2 linked regions of the Alligator mississippiensis genome follow. The protein of the gene in region 1 purifies or fractionates together with the protein of each later gene. This does not show direct contact. Links are inferred from orthologs where the notes say so. Each region holds a gene or a part of one and is shown on either strand. Other genes may lie near its edges.

Region 1 (7,660 bases):
ATCTGACCTTTCACCTGTTGCATGCCATTTTTGCTAACATGGCTTAATTATATTTGCTTCCACTCTGAATTCGTGTTGGTGAAAATAAGACAAATGTTATGTAACAGCTTTATTAAATTAAACAAATATTTGCAAGATTTTTGTATGCATTAAATTCTGTTTGTGCTAGCACTTTTGTGAGCAGTCATTCATGCACACTGTTTCTGTTAAATGTCTGAGAAATTGATTACAAAACTCTTCTTCCCCCACCCATGTCCCTCCCAGCATAGAGAACACATGCTGATGCATGTAAAGGAAAGGGATAAACCCAAAAATGAAGTCTACAATTAAGAAAACAGCTGTTGTTTTGAAATTGTTTATCTTGGTGGAGGAGTGTTGGCAGCAGAACAAATGTGTTGGGTGTTTTTTTTGTTTGTTTGTGTTTTATCTATTTTATTCCTTGGTCTGTTTTGATTTAATGAAGTTCATGGTTTTGAAACGAGCCTTAAATAATTTACACAAACCTCACGACAAAATAACATCTGATGAAGCGATAGCTCAGAACTTCCACAAAACCCAGAAAATTTGCATTTTGTTCAGAACCATTCTGGTCATGTAGCAGACATGAATGCAATTGTGTCAGCCTCATAAGTGAAGGCTTGTGTTGTCTTTTAATTTACAAGGCTGATTCCTATTTCCTATTCCCATTATTAATATCAAAAACAAAAGGGAGCTAGTGCTAGACCTAAAACTATTCAAGACATATTAAGATGTCCAGGGGATGAAAGATCTCCTTACTAAATTGGACTGATATTTTTTTAATAAGAGCTATAACCAATGGTAGAGAAAAATGGATATTGGGTGAATGTAGCATTTCTTGTGCTACACCAAGAACACCTAGTAAAACTGAGAGGCTGCATATTCAAAGTGACTTTTACCTATGCATAATAAATGCTTGGGACTTATTGCCACTAGATTCTGAGTCCAAGGCCTGGACCTACAAATCTATTTAGGTGCCCAATTCCCAGTGACATGTAATTTCTAATACAGGCATGTTCTGGGAGACTGTCCCTATCCTTGAGAAGGGCTCATTGCCTTCAACTGGTTGTTAGGCTCAATCATGGCAGAAGTTGTACAGTACTAACAGGCTAAATCCATGCAAATTTTTTATTTTAAAAATGCCAATACTACCCCTTTTAAATATGATAGACCTAGGGGAAACCTAGCACAGCAACCTGGAGCTAGGCCACTAAGGAAGGGTGATAGTGGGAATTATATGCTTAACTGCTGTTGCGGCCAGTCTTGAGTTCGTAGGTTTCAAAGAAGGATTGCACTTTTTATATAGACTATAACGGGTGGGTAAAATATGGCCCGTGGGCCAGATTCAGCCTGCCAGGCCGTTCTATCCGGCCCAAGGGGCCCCCCCCAAAATTTAGAAAACTAGTATGTACCCCTGGCTGCCTGTCAAAATGACAAGGTGAAAGCAGTAGCAGGACCTAGGAGCGGCTGCAGCAGCAAAGCCCACCCAGCCCTGCTTTTCCCCCTTCCTCCTCCCACAACCTGGCCCCAACTGGAAGCATCTGCCTAGCAGAGCCTTCTGGCTTGGCAGCCCTGGGGCTGTTCCCTCATCCTGGTGCAACTTAGCTAGGATGTGGCAGGAAGGGGAGAACTGCCAGCAATTGCCCAAGTTCTTGGAGCTGGGCCAGCTGTTGCAACCTGCAGTCCCGGTGGTGGAACTGGGAACCATGTGCTGGACTGGCCAGTGGCTGGGCGCGCAAGCAGGGAAAAGTGGCAGCGGCATGCAGGGAAATGGCAGTTGCAGTAGCAGCAAATGGGGAGAGTGGCAGTGTGCGGGAGTGCAGTGACAGCTGGGTGGGAGTGCAGGGTCTGCACTGGTGCCCTGGGGCTAGAGCCAGTGGGGACTTGGGGTTGGGTGGTAGGAGTGGGGGGCCTGGACTGGCTCTCCCTGTTGGCGCAGCCTAGCCCAGCTCCATAGAGTTCCTACCAACCTGCACCCCATGCTTCTGCTGCCCTTCCCTGGGCCCCTGCCAGCCCTGGCACCGGAGCACTGGTTTGGGCTCCACATTCCTGCTTGGCTGTTGCTGAGCCCCTGCCTGCAACTGCTGCTTCTCCCACCACTCTGCCCGTCTGCTGGCTGCTTTGGCACCACGTGGTTCCTGGCTGCATTGTTGGACCACAGGACATGGCAGGAGCTGGCCTAGCCTGGCCCCCTCAATTCCTGGCTGGTTCTGCAGTACCGGCTGGGCAGGCTCCTGCTGTGTTCTGCAGATTTGGCTGTGCAACTGGGAACCATGTGGTGTTGGAGCAGGTGGTGGTGGGGGAGCAGGAGCAGCAATAGCAGGGAGTTAGGGAAGTAATGGGAGAAAGGCAGTGGAGGGGAAGTGGCTGTGACTGGGCAGGTAGGAGTACAGGGCCCGTGCTTGTGCCCCGGCACCAGGGGCGGTGGGAGTGCTGAGCCCAGGAGCACTGGTAGGGCCTCCACCTGCCAGGGGCCCCGAGGCCTCATGGCTTGCTGCTGATGCTGGTGGCAGGGGCTGTGGGCATAAACGCCCCACACACCCCCAGCCACTCTCCCTTTCCACATATGCCACAACCCTTCCCAGTCACCCTCCCCCCACCCACTTACAGCTGTCCCCCCACAAACCTCATGCACATACAGCCTCCCACAAACCTATACTAAATATACAAGGGTAAGACTTAATTTTAAGCTATTATACTATCACTTCTATGTACACTACACAAACACAAGTAAATCAGGACAAAATATTTTTTTAATCAAATTAATGTTTGACTTTTAGAATATAATTTGGTATTTTTCTGGTTCCAAGATGGCAAACCCCCTTCCCAAAAGGAGTATTTCTGGGGGAAAGGGGAGGGACTTCTGGTGGCAAAGGTCAGGGATTAGGGGGTGGGACTTCCAGTTCCAAAATGATGACCAAGGGGGCAGGGCATTTTTGATAGGAACCAAGGGCAAATGAATATTAATTTTCTAATTTTTTTAGGGGCCCCACAGGCTGGATAGAATGGCCTCGTGGGCTGTATTTTGCCCACCCCTATCATAGGCCATCTTGCTCCATCTCTTGTGCTGCATGGTGGCTGGGAGAGGATGCTAAAAGGGAGTGTGAACTGGGTGTGACCAGGGTTTCCCCCTCCCCATTCCTGTCACTTGCAGCCTCCAGCATTTAGGGTACTTTTACAAGTGCTCTGAGCATGGGAGAGGCAGTGCTTTAATTAGAGCAGCCCTGAATGCCAGTCTAATTAGTGCTGCTGCATCTTGTGCATCAGCATTCTGTCATAACCCAATGATTTTAGTGCCTTGGCACAGTGGAATTTTCCCGCCACACTGGAGCTTCTTTGCACGGTAGAATTTCCTGCTGCAAAGAGTAAACTCCGGTGCAAAAAGTGGAACTTAATTATTAAGCACAAACTTTAATATAAATGGAGCACTAAGATTTTACTGTGAATCTTGCTACCTTTAAACTGCCACTTAAATCACCTGAAAAGCACCCTCCCTGCAGAAAGAGGGAGGGTCACTAGTTTGCACGTGCCCTGAGGTTTCCTTTTGACACTCCTGGCTCTACTTGTGCGGCTGATACTCATTTCTCTCTGCTCACATCTCCCCAGTTCGTGGTGGGATCTTGAGGAGGCTCCAGAGCTGCAGCCTTCGCTGAGGACAGGGTGGCCCTCTTGGTCCAGCCCCAGACAAGTACTCGGGAAACTTTCGGTTCTACCTCTACCACAAATATCCTGGGTGATCCCTGGGCAAATCCCCCACTCCTATTTAGGTGCGATGGTAGGGGTGGCACAGGTAGCCTGGGTGTGTAGCATGTGGCACAGTGGAGGGCAGAGGAGGGAGCAGAAAGCTAAGCAGCAAATCGGGCAGGGAGCAGGAGTTTGGGCAGAAAGCATGAGTAGAGAAGGGAAAGAGTGCACAGGGCAAGGAGCAGAAAGCAGAGCAGGGAGGGAGCACGGGGTAGAAAGCAAAGCAGAAGATTGAGAAGGGAGCAGGGAGCAGAAAGCCGCGCAGCAGACAGGCGCGGGGGCATAGGATGGGGAGCAGAAAGCAAAGTAGGAGATGGGGCAGAGAGCAGAAAACGGAGCAGGAGTTGCAGGAGCGAGCACAGGGCAGGGAGCAGAGCAGGAGCCCGCGCGGGGGTGGGTGCGGGTGGCGCTCGGCGGGTCTTGAAAAGCGGCGGAACGTTCCGGCTGCGGCGCGGGTGGGGTTGGCTGTTGCACCGCGGTCCATTGTGCGCGCTTCCGCCGGCTCCGCCTCCACTTCTTTCCCCGCCCGCACTATGGACGAGATGGCAGCCGAGCTGGGGGCGGTGAGCCCGGAGCAGGCGGCGGCTCCCGTGAACACCGTGGAGGTGAGCGCCTCCCCGCAAGTCCTGGAAGGGACGCTAGCACTGGCGCGAGCCCTTGCAGCTGAATCCCCATCCCCCCAGCGCGCATGCGTGCGCCCCCTCTGCTCTTCCGCCCCCTGGCGGCTGCCCGAACGCTGGGCTCGCGCTGTGCTGGCTGCTCGGCTGCGCATGCGCGGGGCGCCTGCCGGCATTCCCCTGTAGTGGAGCCGCCCGAGGCTGCCCTTCCCCTTCCCCTGGGGCTGGGCGGTGGGGGAGGGGAAAGGCCATTGGCCTGCTTTAGGGGGATGCCAGAGGTACCATGGCTCTGCAGTTTCTCCTCTGAGTGAGCCTGGGGGCTTCTTTCCTAGCAGGGCTCGTGTCCCTCCTGGGGCCCTGAGAATGCAGGGTTTGGTGTGATATGGTGCCTGGCGTGGGACAGGGGAAGCAATGGCAACCAGCTTGGTGCCACATGCAGGTACTGGCATGCTGAACAGGCCTTGTCATTTCCCAGGGTAGAAAAAGAACGTTGCCACTTGCTGGGTCAGATGATAGGGCAGGGGCGGGCAGTTATTTCAGGCAGAGGGCCGCTTACCCAGTTTTGGCAGGCTGTCGAGGGCTGCATGGATAGACCTGCCCCTTGACAGGTGCCACGCCGCCTGGTCACAATCTTGGGACCAATATCCCAGGGCCAGTACCAGGGGGGCCCAGAGCAGGGCACAGGCTGGCAGGGGTCCGTGGAGCCAGGCTGGGCTGCACCAGCAGGGAGGAGGGAGCTGGCCCGGCTCCATAGAGCCCTTGCGGGCTGGGACCCTGTGTTCCTGCCACCCTGTTCTGGGCCCCACCAGCACTGACCCCGGGACACAGATGCGGGCCCCGTGCTCCCACTGGACCCCTGCCCATTCACTCCCAGTGCCCTTCAGCCCTGCAGTACAGGCAGAGGGCAGTGCACAGCCCTGACCCCCTGCTTGTTAGTAGGGAAGAAGCTGGTGCTGAGCATGGGGAAAAGTGGCCCCTCGCTTGCCCCATGGCTGGCGCTCTCTGCTGCAGGCGCTTGCAGCCCATGCGAGGCTGTCTGGAGCAGGCACAGGCAGCCCCATGTGGGCTGCAAGTGGCTACAGTGTGGGGCGCTGGCCATGGGGCAAGCAAGGAGCCGTTTTTCCCCGCGCTGAGCACCAGCTTGTAACCCAGCCCTGCTACCAGCCTGGGCTCCAAGCCAGCTCTGGGCTCGCCCGTTAGCGGCAGCAGCTGCACACACCCGCCCCCCCAACTTGCCGCACCGGGCAGTGTTGGCTGCTGCTGCCTGCCCGGAGCTCGTGCGTTGGGCAGCCCAGAGGCAGTGGTGGCAAACTGCCCAGCGCAGCAAGCGGGGGGGCGCTGCAGCTGCTGTTGTTATGTGCAGCCCTGTCTGGTGAGCCCAGAGCCAGTGCGGGGCCCAGGGTGGCAGTGGTGCTGGGTCACAAGGTGGTGCTGAGCGCAGGGGGGGGAAAAGTGGCCCCTCACCCGGCACCTCACGCTGCAGCCGCTTGCAGCCCACGTGGGGCTGCCTGTGCCTGCTCCAGACAGTTCTGCACGGGCTGCAAGCAACTGCAGTGCGGGGCACCAGCCACGAGGACGGGGAGTGGCTGCTTTCCTCCGCCTCAGGAAGGAGCCCAGGGAAAAGCTGAGCACGGGGAAAAGTGGCCCCTCCTTACCCCAAGGCCGGCGCTCCCTGCTGCAGCCACTCACAGCCCACGGTGCTGTCTGGAGCAGGCACAGGCAGCCCCATGCAGGCTGCGAGCAGCTGCAGCGTGGGGTGCCGGGCACAGGGTAGGCGAGGGGCCACTTTCCCCCCGCCCATGCTCAGCTTTTTCCCAGGTCACTTTTTGCTGGGCTCTTTCCCTGCCTGGGGTCCCTCCCTGCCTTTCCCTGCCGTGCCGTGCCGTTCCCCCCCCCCCCGTGGTTCCGGCATGGGGCAGCCATCGTGGTCCCAGGCCCCGTGGTCCCTGGGGGGCAGGGCCCTGTGGGCCTCGGCACAGTGGAATTTTCCCGCCACACTGGAGCTTCTTTGCACGGTAGAATTTCCTGCTGCAGAGAGTAAACTCTGGTGCAAAAAGGTTCCCGCCATTTGTATGTAAATTTGCACCCCATTATTGGCTGATTCTAAATTATTCCTACTTGACAGCTAGTAATTGGCTCGCTAGCCGTATAAAAATCCGCGCGACTTCCGCCCAAGTCGGAGAACTTTGAGCACGCTGCAGAGTGACTTAAAAGAATTCCTGACTTGTGGCAGAGCGAATCGATAGCCTGATCAACTATCGATTTTTCTCCTCGTCGCCGAACGCTTATCCCCGACGTACCCTTTCCCTGCATGCCCGGTTCGTTTGTGGACTCACTGGCTCGGGTTTTTGCCAGTTGGAGCAACTCGTTGCAACTACGCAAGCAGCCTTTACAGCCTGCGTTGCGGCCATCAGCGGCGTAAGTAAAAACTATTTTTCCAACCAATACGCTGTCTCTCCTCTCCATCCACCAGCCCGCCTGATGTTCGCTTAATTAACCAGCGTTTCCCTCGGTCGGTTCTTCCCGGCCGAGGCACCATCCTGTACTTGAAGATGGCAGTGGGAGTGCTTGAACTCAAGCTTGTTTGATGGAACTTTAGTTCAAGTGCCCACCCCCCTCCCCTCCTGCCATTTATAAGCATGGGGACACTGATGCATGAGATGCAGGAGGCTGCTGGAGTCCTCTCCGAGTCTGCTTCAAAGTGCTGGAATTCCAGCACGTCAGAGCTATCTTCCTGCTCATGTCTGGGCACCCTTAAGGTCTAGGAAGTACACAGGCTGTGCCCCAAACTCCCATGCTCAATAGCTACTGATGCACCTTTTGTCCAAGAATTTGTCCAATACTTCGTTAGGTCTGGCTAAACTGTCAGCTTCCACAACTGGTGGCAATGAGTTCTACCCTTGAATGACAGGCTGTGTGAAAAAGAACTTTGTTTTGTTAATTTTAAACTGAGTACCTTCTAGTTTCATTTTGCAACCCCTAGTTCTTGTATTGAGAGAGACTTAGTATTAACTTTTTACTGATTTTTCTCTTAACCATTTAGTATTTTGTAAATGCTTATGTCCCCCCATTAAGCTTCACTTTTCTAAACTGAATAGGCCTGTTTTCTGTAGTCTGTCCTCCTATGGGAACCCCTCCATAGGACCATACTCCCAATCATCCTTGTTGCTCTTCTCTGTACCACCTTTAGTTCTTCTATATTCTTCTTGAAGTGTGGGGACCAGAACTGGGTACAGTATTCAAGGTGTGGACACACCTTGGACTTACTAAGGCTTGGAGTA
Region 2 (8,137 bases), on another chromosome or scaffold:
ACTGCAAAGAAACATTGAACTTTATTTTACTACATTTCGTTGTTCCAAAAAATTAGAGATTCGTGCCTTAACCGCACTTGCTTCTTGGGGACTAGTTACAGCATTACCGATTTCTTTTAATTTTTCCTTTATTACAGGAGTTTTTAATAATCATGTTCAGTCCTTTCAGTGCTTTATATAGTGATTTGCAGGAATATACTCTTTGTATTAGGCCTAACGCTAGAAATGAATTGACTCACATAACCTTTGCCCTAAAGTCATCCTATAGACTCGGTCTGCTGGTCAGTGAAATGCACTGTTAGCTGGGTTGGTGTGGAGCAGTGCTGACATGTTTTATAAAAAGAATTGTTTAATGAATTTTGAATGTAAAAAAGATGCAAAATGCTGAATACAGAAAACATCTTTCATGACAAAGAATAGATACATTGCAGATCTGCTTTCCATAGCAGTTACTATGTCCCCTGCTTTCAGTAGTTAATACCAAGGCTCCTCTCTCATTGAGCCTTAGTGGTAACAATCACAATCCTATGCTTGAAATGTTTATACGTTGCACATTTAGAAAATTCCATGTCTGCATTCCCTATGGATACTCGAATGTACACATCCCAAGCCGCTGAGTCCAATCAGAAGTACAGAAATTAAAAACCGAGATACCTGGGCTAATCACTACTTTTGCATCTTCTCTTTGGAAAGTAGTTTGTGTGGAGCACAGTGATAATTTTGGTTGTGCATGAACTCCAGAGCCCAGTGGCTGAAGTGCATAGCAGGGCTCAGGAACGAAGCCCTAGGAAAGATATCAAATAAGATGCAGATAATTACCTGGTGTTGGAAGACAGAAATGAGATGCTAAGCATAAAAAAGCAGGTGCACGTGGTATCGTATAGCACCCGGCAGAGCTGTCGCAGGACTTTGCTCTGCTGGTTTTGGCCATATTGTGCCAGGGTCAGTAAATCACATGAACAAACAAAGGCGACTCTAGCTCTCTCTGGAGTCTGTCTGTTGATCTGGGTGTTTGTTCATTGCTGTCACTGTGCAACGACTGTGGTGGTTCCAGGGGTATGACCGTGGTGGTTCATATTTCAGTCCTTTCATTGATGAAAGAGGCTGACTCTTCTAGAGAAGATACCATTTTGGGTCACCTCCCTGGGTCATTAGGGCTCGATGGCTATTTGCTGGATCCCAAGTAATAGCATGGCCCTAAACTCAGAGGACACAAGGAGTTTCTTGTATTGCGCAGGCCTGTCCTATGGTCACGGGCAAGGCCGTTGTTTTGCGTGCTGTATCCAAAGCAATTCTCAGCTGTGTCCGGAGAAGAGCGGAGCTCGCTTTCTCTGGGTTGAAACGGGGTTGATGCAAACTGTAATACAATATATTGAGGTTATAACCAGTGGGAGGGCGGTGAAGAAGGTGGAATATTGGTGTGTCAGCTGATGAGACCCATAAAAGCACTTTAGGAAGAAATGCCTGATGGCACCCAGGAGAGGATTTCCTATAAGGTATCATGTTGTTCACACAGGTGATGGCGACATGCTGTGCGTGCAAGGCCCGGAGTTCATTTTCTGGACGGACAAAAATGATTTGATTCACTCTTCCCCTTTTATTATCACAGCCGAAGCTGGCTGGGACACACACAACTCAAACTGGTGAATTCTGGGGTGTTTCTGCCTGTGCCAAGCCTTGTGCCAGCAGTGGGCCTTTCTTTTTGTGGGCAGGTGAAACCTCTCCCTTCACCGTCAGGAGAAAGGGCAAGAAGCAACCAAAGCAGCGGGCGCGCCTGCACATCACCCTATGGCGACATAGTGACGCATGGCACGCTACGGCGACGTATCGCTAGCTACGTCGCAGTAGTGGCGCGCTCCCCGCTTACGGTGCCCTGCTCTGGAGACACAGCGAGAAAATTTAAACACGTGGTGCCCATTTGGCACCGTCCAGGCGGTTACCACACCATGTTTTAGTACTTCCAAAAGCACAGCGCAGTCACACCGTTCCCGTATGGCGATGTGTAGATGCACCTAGTGTAGGGCAAAGCTGCAGAGACCCACAACCAAAGTGTTCGGTGCAGGGCAGACCCACAACCAGGACAGGGCACACCTGCATGGACCCACAATTGGTGCAGGGCAGACTTGCATGGACCCCAAAGCAGGGCAGGGCAGGGCACACCTGCATGGACCCACAATTGGTGCAGGGCAGACTTTCATGGACCCCAAAGCAGGGCAGGGCACACCTGCATGGACCCACAATTGGTGCAGGGCACACCTGCATGGACCCACAAGCAGGGTGCTGCAGGGCAGACCCGAAGGGACCCACAATTAGTGCAGGGCAGCCCGTGCAGGGCGTTGCGGCGCGGGAGGAGCGAGCGGGGCAGCCGCACCGCGTGCGTCCGCATTGGTGGTTCAGTGGTAGAATTCTCGCCTGCCACGCGGGAGGCCCGGGTTCGATTCCCGGCCAATGCAAGTGTAACCTTTTTTTGCCGCTTCCGACGTTCTTTTTCCCGGCGGCCCCCGCGCTGCGCTGCGCTGCGCTGCGCTTCGCCCCGCCCCGCCCCGCCCCGCCCCCTCGTCCTTCTCCTTGCCCCCGGGACGCAGCACGGGCGCCATGGACGTGTAAGGGCCGCGCGGGGGGAAGAGGCCGCGGGTGCGGGGAGAGGACTGGGAGAGTCGTGGTTTGTTTTCTCCCAGAGCAAAAATGTCCCCGGGTGGGGAGTGATTCACCCCCGGGCCGTTCCCCCTCCCAAAAACGCTATTTTCTTAACCCCGGGGAGAAAAGGCCTGGCCGTGCGCATGCTCCTGGCCGCGCAGTAGATTTGCAAGCGTGGGCCGCGCAGATGGCAACATGAAGGCCTCTGAAGAAACCCCGGGCGTCTCCGAGCCTCGCTTGACGGCGGTGACACGGGGGGGGACCAGGGGCGACGGCCACTTACTGAGTTTTGGACATTGGGGAAAATTTTCTCACTAGGAGGGCGGTGAAGCGCCGCAGCAGGTCACCCGGACGTGGGGGAGGCTGCATTCTTGGAGGTTTTTAAGGCCTGGATAGAGGGGGAGGAGGATGAGCTGTTTGGTTTAGAAATGGATCATTTTTGTTTAATTTCCTATAGGAGCGTACCATGGCAATTGTATTCTAAAGTATATCTTAAAAGAGTGGCTCTTATGGACTAAGATGAGACGAATCTGTAGTACATGAGGATGATCTTAGTAATTTAGGTTAAAAAAATACTTTTTTTTCCCAAAGGAATCTAAAATATATTTACGGAAGAGGTTTCAAATTAAGTCATTTTTTTTTTTCCTTTTCCATGTACAGGTTACTCCTAAGTGCGCTATGTAGATAACTGATGTAAAATCCCCAAATTAGAATTGCTATAAAAATAAACTGCATGCTGATATATTGCATGCATACTTTTTGGTTGTTCAGACGTTCATACGACGGTGCAGACTGACATAAAAACTGAAGTCTGTTTCTGCTTTGCCAATTTTTTTTGTAATGATACAAATCAACCTGAATAAGCACGCTGGCCATAATGTTTGCTATATTATTTCATTTAAAATCCTCGTAGCTTGACAAAGTACTGAACAGCAAGAGGACTTTGTAGCTATAATAAATTTGTATCTCCCCATACCCTTAGCAATAATCAATCCCGCTAGTAAAAACTTAATTTTTTAAGTAACAGCTTGACAACTGGATGGGTTTCTGTTTGCTGTTAATTGGTACAAAAGAAGTTTAAGTGCTTGTGGTCCCAAAAGGTTTACCATTTTAAAAACAAACCCACGCTTGATTTAAACAGTATAAAATCGCAGTTAAACGAACTGCTGATTCATTCTGTGCTTGCCTGTTGAATATACAGTCCAGGATCTTCTCAGTTTTTTTAATGGAAAGAATCTGTATGTAATTCTTCCATGGCGCTATTATTTCCAGAAACAAAGAACATCCTCCGTGCATAGGGATTTCTGCGGAGATAGGCTGAATGCAGATTTCAAAGAATTGTGTTTACCTAAGAACAAAACTACAAAAGCTATATGGCTTGTAAAACATGAATGGAAACTGATGCGTGTGTGAGCTCACTTGCTGAAGTTTCACTAGAATCAGCTAATTGGAATTTTAAGTTCATCTCAGCGTATTTTACAAGGTCCCTTTCATTTAAAAACAATGATAGAACCTGTGGACGTTTGGAAGGCATTCACATGTTTGACTGTGATGAATGTGACAGTGCTATTCAGAGAGTTGATGGTGCTTGACAATGCATTTTGCTTTTTTTTATGTGCTGTCGCAGACCTGAGAAAAGCCCTTTTTTTTCCCCTTTGTATGGTAACTGTCTGGTGACTCAGCAGAATGCATTGTTCTCAGGATATATGGCTAGCTCCTCGCTGCTTGTCCTACAGAAGTTGTATTTACTTGAAAATATGAAATTACAATATTTTCTAGTCTAATTAATGGGAGCATGCTCAATTCAGAAATACACTTTACTCAGATTGTTCGATCCAGCAATAATATGTAAGAGCGATTCTTGCATAATTGGATCAGCCCCGGGACTGTGGGGAGCAGCCCAGGCTGTGGCATGTGCGGCTGGTCCTGCTGCCCCCAGGGTGCAAAGCAGGCTAGGGGCAGCTCCTTCTGACTGCCACTGCCACTGGACCCAGCCTCACTGCCAGGAGTCCCACCCATGTGGGCAGGGTGGGCGGCCAGGTGGAGGGGATGGGGCTGGGGAGCGGTGTCCAGGAGCAGCGCGGGTGGGGAAGGCCAGGGCCAGGCTGGAGCCAGGATCACAGGGCAGTAAAAGGGCCTGGGGCAGAGCCTTGATCCGCTGCCCACGCATCCCTGCAGTGGGCACTGTTTCCGCAGGCAGAGGTGTGTGGGGAGCAGATTGCAGTTCTGCATCAGTTCCTGGCCTCACACTATCACTGCCCCAAGATCCTGGATCCGGCTCCTCTTGCATGTCCAGCTCCTGGATGCTGCTCCCCACCCACCTGCGGCCCCATCCCATCCACCTGGCCACACTACCTGCCCAGGATTGTGGGGCAGTGGCAGTGCAGGGCTGGGGCCCAGGGCAGAGCTGCGATCTGCTCCCCCCAGGCCCCTGCCCGCAGAACCAGCACCCATTGCAGGGGTGTGTGGGGAGCAGATCATTGCTCTGTCCATATTGTCACATCCCCCCCGGTTCCAGCCCTGGACCTGCCCACCTGTCCTGCTCATGGATGCCGCTTTCTGCCTGCCCCGCAGCTCTATCTCAGCTGCTGGCTCATCATGGAGTCACTTAGGGAGCTTTGGTGAGCTGTTGATGGTGGGGGTGATTGCTGACCTGGCCCACAACAGCTCACCAAAACTCTGTAAGCGGCCCTCCAGCCCAAATAATGCCCACCCATGCTATAGAGTATGTGTGTGTGCATAGTTACAGATACATATATAGACCTCACTTACCTGTATGTGTGTTTGTATACATTATCTATTGTGGCAGGGCACTGTGTGCGCCTGCCACTTTAAGGGCCTGGAGCTGGCAGCCACCAGGTGCCTGACGAGGGCAGCCATTTTAGAGGCAAGGGCTGCCTATATAAACAGGGCAGTTTGGCTGCTGGAGGCCAGGCAGCAACATCGCCTGGCTGGAGAGCTGCCGAAAACAACCTGGAGGTAAGGGAGGAGCTGAAGGGGATGGTAAGGAGGCTCCTGGTCCTGGGCATGACCTCAAACTGCCCCCTGCCGGGAGTGGGTGGCCTGGTGGGGCTCTCAGTGGCGCGGGAGCCCCCAGGAAATGCCAGGCCGGTTACCACCCCGGTGAAAGGCAGGTCGGGGCGCCTTAACCCCTTGCCCCCACCAGCGGGGGGGTAACCCCAGTGTTTGTAAAGGGCCTAGAGGGCGGACCCTGGGAGAAAGTGAGGGGCTTGAGACCCGACCCGGACGAGGGAGTCCCCTCGACTGGCCCATGCTGGGGCCAGGACCAGGAGGGTCTAAAGGGCGAGGGATGCCCAAGAGCCAGGGGCCTGGGGTCCCGACTGGCCTGGAGGTGGGCCAGGGCTAGTGGCCGAAGGTCCCGGGGGGACCACACCCGAGAGGGGAAAATGGCTTTGTGGGGGGCTAGGTAGCCCAGATGAAGGCGGAGAGGCCGCCTGATCAGAGGGATCGGGGAGGGGTCCTGTTTGGAAGATTCAGGGGCCCAGCGTGGGGGCCGGTGAGGAGATGAACACCTAGATGCCATCTGCGAGGCTTGGGCTGCGGTATTGGGGAGGATAGGAGCCACAGAGAGCACCCCCTGGCATTGGGGCACTAAAATGGGTAGCTTCCCGCTTATGTGACATCTATTAATGAATCAATTAACGCCAAGGCGTGGCAGGTGAGATAGCGGGCGGTTGGCCCAAGGACAGGTGGGCAGGCCATGGAGATCGGCCCTGAGGAAGCCCCCTGTTACATCTCAATATCTGTATCTACCCACTCGGTAGATTTCTGTTATTGTTTTGTGCGTCACTTTATCCAGACAAAACTTTAAGGAGCAAGGAATAACTGAATGGGCTGTTAATTGAAATGGTAGTAGGCTGTCCCAATTCAGAGGATTTTGCTGAGCAAGTTAAACACTACTTTGTGGATCAATTGAGCCAAATATTCTTGTCTAATAGTAATAAGCATAATTAGGTTGTGTAAAATATTCGTGACTGCCATAGGTAGCAACAGCCAGGAACAGTGGAGGAATTAACAAAATTGTGATCCTGAGAATTTTATTGGAAAGAATTCCTGAATTTAACGATTTCTACTTTTTAGTGTTAGTAGAGAGGAAGATGGTGATTTTTAAATTTTTTTTATACAAAATATTCTGAAACATGTTTTATTCCTTTTTCTAGAAAAGATGCCAATGCTGCATTGCTGAGTAACTTTGAGGTAAGTTTACTCGTACCCTAATTTTCAGTAGAGTTTAATGCCGTGATCAGCAGCTTTTTAAGACTGCAGGTCATATTGACACAGTTCAAGTCAGAGGCAGATGGACAAAGGGAGGTCCCATGGCAGGCACAGGAAAAACACACACCACTGCTGCTTCCCCTCGTGCTGGCGTGGGAAGAGTGCCTGCCACGGCCACTTTTCCCTGTACTTGGTCCCACTGCTTTTTTCCTTGCATGGGCACAAGGAAAGCATTCACCTCTGGTGTGGGCAAAGCACTTGCCACAGCCTTTTCTCCCCGCATTGACACAGGAAAAGTGCCTGCTGCTGGCACAGGGAATGCATCTGCTGCTGCTGCTTCCTATGCCAGCACCAGAAAAGTGCCCGCCACTGGCTTAGGGAAAGTGCCCACTACTGCTGCTTTTTCCTATGCTGGCACAGGAAAAGTGATTGCTACTAGAGGTGCACCAATACATGGGTCCCATATCAGATTGGCACCGATATAAGGAAAACTGACTATCAGATATTGGCTTTTTTTGGCTGATGTGGCCAGTAATTCCCCATGCATCCGCCCAGCCGCAGTGCAGCACACAGGCGGCAGGAGCTCAGCCCAGCAGCATGGAAAGCAGCTGGGTCTGGCTGGTAAGTCTGTTGTGAGGAAACGGGCATGGGGACGCAGATCGAGACCCCTGTGGTGAGGGAGGAAGTGGGGCTAGGCAGGGGTTGGGGCAGGTGCTGCACAGCTGGCGTGGAGCGGGGGACAGAGCCACAAGCGACTTGTCCGGAGGGTGCGGGGAGAGGGTGGCAGCTCTCACTGCTGCATGCACCCCAGGGGGGCATGGCAGGTGTGTGCCCCTGGATCTGCGCACAGGGCGAGGACAGGCTGTTGCTGTGGGCTGGGGCCGGGGCTGCGCGGAGCTCTTCCTGGTGGGGGGGCTTGGGCTGGGGCTGCGCTCGGGACAGGCAGCGGTTCTGGGAGAGAGGTTGTGGGGGCTACAGTGAATTTTGGGGTGGCTGTAGCCTCCCCATATACCCCTCTCAGTGCTACCACTGCCTGTCCCGAGTGTAGCTCTACCCAGCCTCCTGCTGGGAAGAGCCTGGTGCCCACCCTCGCCTTGTGTGCAGATCTGGGGCACACGCCCCCCCATGCCCTCTGGGAGCTACCACCCCCTCCCCATGCCACCTGGACAAGCCACTAGTGGCTCTGTCCCTCACTCCGCCCTGGCCGTGCAGTGCCTGCCCCTACCCCTGCCCCATCCCCACTCTCTCCTTTATAGCAGGGGCC

The links.
Region 2: the proteins of POLR3B (region 1) and CRCP purify together in Homo sapiens (affinity purification with mass spectrometry; 5 studies listed by BioGRID and IntAct, with this or other methods). This does not show direct contact. The link is inferred for Alligator mississippiensis from reciprocal best matches to the Homo sapiens genes POLR3B and CRCP.

What each region holds. Positions count from the first base shown.
Region 1 is NC_081827.1:104,550,163-104,557,822, reverse strand, and holds the start of POLR3B (DNA-directed RNA polymerase III subunit RPC2), read left to right. Parts: upstream 1-4,259; 5' UTR 4,260-4,295; coding exon 4,296-4,367; intron 4,368-6,734; coding exon 6,735-6,797; intron 6,798-7,660. UniProt on the Homo sapiens protein: Catalytic core component of RNA polymerase III (Pol III), a DNA-dependent RNA polymerase which synthesizes small non-coding RNAs using the four ribonucleoside triphosphates as substrates.
Region 2 is NC_081837.1:10,088,056-10,096,192, reverse strand, and holds the start of CRCP (DNA-directed RNA polymerase III subunit RPC9), read left to right. Parts: upstream 1-4,802; 5' UTR 4,803-5,413; coding exon 5,414-5,616; intron 5,617-6,818; coding exon 6,819-6,855; intron 6,856-8,137. UniProt on the Homo sapiens protein: DNA-dependent RNA polymerase catalyzes the transcription of DNA into RNA using the four ribonucleoside triphosphates as substrates.